Oreochromis niloticus: one gene and its partner. Each later gene encodes a partner of the first gene's protein in a complex. Links are inferred from orthologs where the notes say so. Each region holds a gene or a part of one and is shown in the gene's direction. Other genes may lie near its edges.

Region 1 (3,760 bases):
TCTGCACTGGAGCAGCTAGAGCTTATTTAAAGTGCCTGACTTGTCCATGTTAGGGATATCCACTCTCAACAGGAGAAACAATAGTTTGTTGTTTAGAGTAATATGAAGCCTGAACTTTTTAGCTCTTAGGAGTCTTTTTTTAAATGTACAAACACTAACTTCATTATTTTCAAGTTTTTGTTTTCTTTATGGAAAACCATCAAAGAATTGCAGCCATTTTTATACGACAACCCACACTTTTACAGCTGCGAAGGCATGCAGGCCTTCACTGCGTTCGTCTTTACCTGCTGTTTGTTTGTGGCCCTCTCTGCTTTCAGTTTTGTCTTCATCAGTAACTGAAAACCATGCTCTGCTGGGCTGAGCTCTGATTTGACCATTCAGGAACATTTCATGTCTTTGCTTTAGGAAACTCTTGGATTCCTTTCTGTCTGTGTTTTGGGTTATGGCACTGGAAAGCACCGTCTTATCAGTTCTAAAGCACTTTGGCTGAATCTGAGCAGAGAGTACTCCCTGTACGCTTCACAGTTCATCCTGCTCCTTCTATCAGCACTCACATCATCAATAAAAACCAATGATCCAGTTATACCGGCATCCACACATGCCCATGCAACAACACTGTCTTCACCATGCTCAAAAGATGATGAGGTCCTTCCCCTCTTATCATAGTATCCCCTTCCAAGGTAGTTAAAGCAATACTTTTAAACCCACTTGAATTAAACCTGAAGCTTCATATTTCATTTTTAATTGGTATCTTTATTTCACATCATCTGAGGTAGGAAAATTCAGAAAAATGCATCACTTTCCAAATACTTATGGCGTTTATCTTCATAGGATATGAACACTGTTTAACTACTGCCCCCTACTGGAGATACTGTTAGGTACCCGTGGACTGAGAAAAATCCGCATCTAAATTAAACAAGTAGGTACCCTCATGTTCCAAATTACTGTTTGTCTCCGGTGCTGGTAATGCTTCAAAAAGACAGATTTTAGCGTATACTTAAGTTAGATTAACGCCGGTTAAGTTTATTTACTGCTAGCCACTGTAGCTACCCACGTGAGGAGCGCACAGGCGGTCAAATCGCTGCCATTCGCTTTTTTGGTTAATCAATCCGATCTAGAAAAAATAAAGACGAACCCATCCAACCGCGCACACCATCAAACCACACACGATTTTCGCTTTTTACCATTTCTAGTACTGCTTTCTTTTCTCCTTCCCCGGCCATGCTTCACTTTCCCACCGCATCCGTCAACAGAGTAAGGTTAAGTACTGTGCTCTTTAGCCCTGAATCTGGTTTGACAGGCAAAGGAAAGTTCAATACGACTGAAATTTACCTCAATGTTTTGGTAACATATGTATGATTGTAGCCATACACTATCAAATTATCAGATAATAATTTTCATTTAAAGTGACGCAGCTCTGTGGTTGGTAGAATATTTGTCAAACGCGTCGTTTGACAAATATTATATTTTTAATATTTTTAATATTTTTAATATTTACCTGATAAATATTTATTTCAATAAAAGCTAACCTGTTGAGCAATTAACAATGGTAAGTTTTGTCACATCTCTATCTGCAGGGGAAAGCGTTATCTAGCGTTCAAGTCGCCTGGAAGACTCTAACAGGGCGAAATTCGCGCCCCTTCTATAACAAGTCGTTTATACGAAGACGTGACGATGGAACTACGTAATATGTAACTGGGGGTAAAAAGAAAAATGTAGTTCCAAAAGGGAAACAACGACGTTAAGTACATAGAGCCAGAAATGCGGTACGAACTACACTCCCCGGCACGCGCTTGAACGTGTTTCCGGTCTGGACGATTTGCTTAGCAGGCAGAAGTCACTCGAAAGGGATTAGCCAACTAGCAGCTGAAACGTCTTTAAATGTGGGAATTTGCGCTAAATGAGCCACTTTAATCGTCGTTGAGACATCCAGGTAATGAATATGATGTTATGTGACTATTACGTACGTTAGCTCGGTAGCTAAAAACAACCAACATGGCGTCAAGCGGCTAACTACCTTTCTGACGCTGATATGTACGTTTAATGGTCAACAACAGTGTTAGCTATCTTGTTGTTTCCCAAATTTTGGTTCATCTAGTATTAGCTGGCATTTTACTCTAGCATGACAGCCTGCTCATGATTGGGCATTTTCCTAGGGCGTACTAATGGCAGTAATTGGATTTCTTAGTTACACCTATTCACATGTCATTTTATTTCCTTCTTCCTGTTATCTGTAACTATTTTTGGCTGTTTCACAAGAATTATTCTTCCCTAATCATTATCGTTTGGGTTTACCCCCCAGCCCAGCAGTAACAACTCGCCTTCCTTGTCCTTCTACCTCCAGGGAGGTAATAAAGGTGAAAACCCAGCTGTTGCCATGGCAATCCTGTTTGCTGTGGTGGCTCGAGGAACCACTATTCTTGCCAAGCATGCATGGTGTGGGGGTAACTTCCTGGAAGTTACTGAGCAGATTTTAGCTAAAATTCCCTCAGAGAACAACAAACTGACATACAGCCATGGCAGGTAAGGGCGTGTGCGTGTGTGCGGCCTGTGTCATCTCCAGTTGGCAGTTTACATCCTGTTTGTGACTGTGCCTACGGCGGTGTCATGTGATAAAGTACCACAGAGTTCATTCCTTGTAAAAACTGTAGGAAAAACAGCCCTACTGTATAAAACACCTCTCATCTAACGATTAACCCTTCTGCTTTATTTCTAGCTATCTGTTTCATTACATCTGCCATGACAGAATCATATACCTGTGCATCACGGATGACGTAAGTATATATTTGACAGTCATATATTTTTGTCAGGGGTTTGGATTTGCAGTAGGCCATTTGTAGATGTTATGAATGTATTTTAAAAACCTGAATTAGTATAAAAATAAATATAAACCACCCAGCCACTGTAGGAAATGGACACATGTCCTGTGTTATTGTAGAAAACCTAGCATTACTGCTGTTGCTAAAGATGAGATAGGTTTTGAGGCAGCCACAATTGATTATATGCAACTTCTTATAAACCTATTTGACTCTTATCTTCTAAAGGACTTTGAGAGGTCACGTGCATTCACCTTCCTCAGTGAAGTGAAGAAGCGTTTCCAGACAACATATGGCTCACGAGCACAAACAGCCCTACCTTACGCCATGAACAGCGAGTTCTCCTCTACACTGGCAGCTCAAATGGTGTGTATGATGAAAGCCTGAACATACCAAGCAATGTTTCCTGTGACAGCTCTGTGATGTCTTAATATTTCTGTGGTTTAAAAGAAAAAAAAGGAAACAGAAGAAGATGTGAAGAAGTGTGACGTGTTCCTTTTCTTTGCAGAAACACCACTCAGATCCACGTGGACCCGATCGTGTCACTGAGACTCAGATGCAAGTGGACGACCTGAAGGGCATCATGGTCCGCAACATAGGTGAGCGTCTCTTCAATTTCCTCATTTTGTATTTATTCATAAATAAATAAATAAACAAGGCTCTGAGATGGAAAAACCTTAACTTAAACTCTAATAAACCAAGTTAGATAAAACCTGTAATGTGTGACTGGTGTGTGGTGTGACTTTCGCCCTTAAATGAGTGCAGTGTTGTATCATGAGCGACCACCTCACTTACAATGCATGATGTGCTGTGTTTAGTGAATTACTCATATGTATTGTATTATGTGTATTCACACTAAATTCACTGTTTGCATTCATTTTTTTACAGACTTGGTAGCTCAGAGAGGAGAAAAGCTGGAGCTGCTGATTGACAAGACAGAAAAC
Region 2 (3,760 bases), on another chromosome or scaffold:
GTTTTGTAAATGGAACACAGATAGTGTGAGACACAAGTAGTAGAATTTTAAAGTAACTACCCTGAGCAGGACAGAAAGAGCGACCTCTTGTGGATGAAATAGGCACTTCTGCAGATATCACTTCATAATTGTAACACTTAAACATCCACATGAGGATGGCCCTGCTTATATTATCGGAGCTACTGAGACCCTATCGTTGCAGATCACCTGGTCAAAGTCTGCTAAATGTCCCACGCTTTTACTTTAAAATCAGAGACGATCACGTTTTTGAGGCAATAGTGCCCAAACTTTGTAATAACCTTCAGCATTATGGTCACATTTTACCTGTTCTTACCTGATCAGCTGAATCCGTAATTTGTTTTAAACAACTGCCGAAAACATTTGTTATATATATTTTAGTGTTCTCTTAATGATTTCCCCATTATTCGGACCTTAGCTTGCATCTATTTGTGTGTAAGTTAAATATGTATGTTAGAATGGACGTCTGACCGGATGGTGTGTGGTGTCTAAAACCAGTGTTCTTTAAAAAGTGGTACACAAATAAAGTTATTATTGTTGATGTTATTGTTGTCGTCGGCGTTGTTGTTGTTTGTTCTTCCACTCTTCATTTATTCCCCTTTTTGTGTGGTATATGCTTAAAGTCTATGTTAAGGCATCAGTACTCAGCTAGTGTAATGCATTAACGGAAACAAGGCGAGAACTATTTTGGAGTCTTCTGTCGTCACTGAAGCTAATGACACCTTAACGCTGTCGACGAAGAAGAAAGGCGATCACGTGTCTGCCACGTGAACAGCTGATCGTGACGTCATTCACCAACAAGCAACATGGCGGAGTGGAACAGAGGTAAATGTTTTGACACGTATTCACTTCCAAATATTCAGTTGTGTGTTATTTGTGTCAGCTTAGAGATGATATTACAGCTGGGTGGTACATTTTAAAATGTTATTTTTGAGTATCGTTTGCTCGTATAATACCCAAATCTCAAGAGCTGAGTTTATAGGCTAACTAGCTCTGACATACTTAAAGATTAGCAAAAAGCAAGGCTACCTTGTAAGTTTCATATCAGTTGCTTTCGCCCACTAAAGAAGCATCTGCCTCTCTGAAGGGTGATAAAAAGTGATATTATTATCATTAGTATTATTATTATCATTATTATCTTATTAGTTTCCCAAATATGGGAGAACGAATACTCCTTGGCAGTGTTGTAAGTTTACTTCACGTCGTTATTCCGTGCTTAGCTTAAAGGGCTGGATATATAAAGAACATCCCTTCAGCAGAGACTCTGCACCACACTCCGATCATGCTGATATCAAAGTCATTGATGAAAAAGTGTTGCTTCCTGTTGATTTAAACCGAAAATTAGAAACATTATATATTCTTTAACAAGTTATGTGTTCAGAACTATGTGCATGGCAAAAACTGTATCTTCTGAGGTCTATCTGCGGTTTTCAACAGAAACATAACAATTCAAGGAACATTCAGATCTTGTGTGTCATATCTAATCCACGGTGTTTGTGCTTGTCCAGGCCATGGCTCTGTGGATGATGTGCTCGATGCTGAAAACAAACGGCTGGCAGAGAACCTGGCCAACAAAGTCTCCAGACTGAAATCTGTGCGTAACAACCAACAACCGTCCCCTTCAGCTACCAGTCTGATTAATAAATCAGCTGGTCTGTAGTTATTAGGTTACTGCTGTCAAATGTACTCAGTTTTAATTATAACTAAAGCTGTCAGTTCCAGGAATCAGAATTATTAATTATCCCAAACACAACCAGTTTTGTTATTTAATGTACTGATACATGGCTGATTGCTTGTAAGAATTTTAGCTGTAACCAAATGCATCACTGGTGTAATGGTTGTCTTTTATTAATAAATGTACAGTATTGTGGAAATGTGAAAATTGTACAACCAGTGCCTCCAGTGTAAGATGGGACACCATCAGGCACTTCTACATAGTTACATGATATTAAGATTTTCTTACACCAAGCTTCAGGCTCTTCCTGGTTCAGAACAATCCTCTGGGTATTCACTGTACACTAATGAAAACAACTTGTTTACATAGAGTCAAGGCAATTAGTCTGTCTACCATACATCTATAAAGATTACTGTTATTTCTTTAGACTGATTCAAAATTTCTATTTTGCTTAAATAAATGACTCATAATTGGTTTAAATCTTGTAGACATTGTCCCTGATTAAAACCTCTTTGGGGATCCAGAAAATATTTTATGCATGTTCACAGACTTTGACAAATGACTCGTGTCTGTTTTTAGCAAAGAGTTGTGTTTTAAATCCCTACAACGTCCTGTTTAGTTGGACATCTTCCAATCTGCACTTAAGCTGGTTAGGTACTAAGTGACAGAGCAACAGCCTAAAAGGATAACGGGTAACCAAGAAGATGTTTGCTTTCCTGTTCTACATTTTCCTCTGCTGTGCAATTCGCTTTTCAGAATCTGCTCTCATGTTCTTTCTTCTGCCTGTAATCTAACCCTGAGATGATGTAAAACTTCACTTGTTACAAATGATTGCTTATTAGTACATTTTTGCACAAGATTCCACATTTTAGGACATGATCAAAATAATCTAAAATAAAAAATAATAGTCCTTACAGGTTTCCAAATGGTTCAAATTCAGCCTCAGGTGAGCAAGAACATATGTCATTGGAATTAAGAGAGTAAGTAGCACCCGGGTGAAAGTGAGATGGCCTCCATAAAAGGAAACGTTTTGACAGTTTGCTGGTCTGCCGCAGTCAGACTTCTACAACTAACTTGATCATCTTCTTGTCTCTGTATCTCGCAGTTGGCTTACGACATCGACAGAGATGTGGACGATCAGAATGAGTACCTGGATGGCATGGTGAGCATTTCCTGCCTTAAACACAATTATAGTTAATCTTTTAGTAAAAAAGAACTGACATTTTAATTTCTCCCATTTGTCTATAAACAGAATATTGTTTTAAATATTCACTGATTTTCACCCTGTTCTATTTTCACGACAGCTCCTCTGAACTGTTTAGTGAAGTGTTTGACCATCGATCCACAGGTTTCACTGGGACCTAACATTCAGGAAAAATTTTATAGAGTCCCAGTATAAAAAATGAGCACTGTGTTGATTGTCAGAATCTGTGTGGATTGATACATTTGGTAAACAGAGTGCACATTATATAAGTACAAATTAATACTGTCGGCTGTTTTATTTTTTCTCTTAGGTTAATTTATTGTCAGTTATTAAAGAATTATCTCATCTTTCTTTTAGGACTCAAACTTCATGAGTGCGACAGGCCTGCTCACTGGCAGCGTGAAGCGTTTCTCCACCATGGTCCGATCAGGACGAGACAACCGCCGTATCCTGTGTTACGTCTCCATGGGGCTGGTCCTGGTCTTCTTTGTTCTTTACTACCTGGTATCCAAGATCCACCAATGACTGAGAAAACAAGATCAACCAGGCTCTGATATGGAGCTGAGACTTTAGACTGTAATGTCAAAACTGATTTAAATAAAGACTTTTTTTATTGTGCACCAAAGAAAGAAAGAACGACGTAGGCAAAATTGGTTTGACCAGTTGGGGGTGTCAGTCAGCCCACCGGAGGAAACTGTAGTGGGCGTGGTCATATCAATGAGAAGCCTGAACTTTGGGATCTTTGAGTTGGCACGGAGTACGTCCCATCCTGCAGCAGCAAGTCCTGATTTGGTTGGAAGTCAACAGAGCCCGGACGCTGGGGAGGTGGGAATGTCATTCACCATATCCGAGTCTAATTGAAC

What was found. The genes of interacting proteins can lie anywhere in the genome.
Region 2: sybl1 (region 1) and bet1l share a complex: the UniProt entries of both Homo sapiens proteins name them as parts of the SNARE complex. The link is inferred for Oreochromis niloticus from reciprocal best matches to the Homo sapiens genes VAMP7 and BET1L.

The regions. Positions count from the first base shown.
Region 1 is NC_031966.2:31,862,767-31,866,526, forward strand, and holds the start of sybl1 (vesicle-associated membrane protein 7), read left to right. Parts: upstream 1-903; 5' UTR 904-919; intron 920-1,184; coding exon of another isoform or gene 1,185-1,223; exon of another isoform or gene 1,224-1,301; intron 1,302-1,744; exon of another isoform or gene 1,745-1,933; intron 1,934-2,302; exon of another isoform or gene 2,303-2,344; 5' UTR 2,345-2,377; coding exon 2,378-2,523; intron 2,524-2,716; coding exon 2,717-2,774; intron 2,775-3,044; coding exon 3,045-3,182; intron 3,183-3,324; coding exon 3,325-3,415; intron 3,416-3,704; coding exon 3,705-3,760. Other genes in the region: polr1d (DNA-directed RNA polymerases I and III subunit RPAC2), read right to left, coding at 285-377. UniProt on the Homo sapiens protein: Involved in the targeting and/or fusion of transport vesicles to their target membrane during transport of proteins from the early endosome to the lysosome. Required for heterotypic fusion of late endosomes with lysosomes and homotypic lysosomal fusion.
Region 2 is NC_031972.2:40,860,835-40,864,594, forward strand, and holds the start of bet1l (BET1-like protein), read left to right. Parts: upstream 1-718; 5' UTR 719-824; coding exon 825-843; intron 844-1,526; coding exon 1,527-1,612; intron 1,613-2,798; coding exon 2,799-2,855; intron 2,856-3,254; coding exon 3,255-3,422; 3' UTR 3,423-3,760. UniProt on the Homo sapiens protein: Vesicle SNARE required for targeting and fusion of retrograde transport vesicles with the Golgi complex. Required for the integrity of the Golgi complex.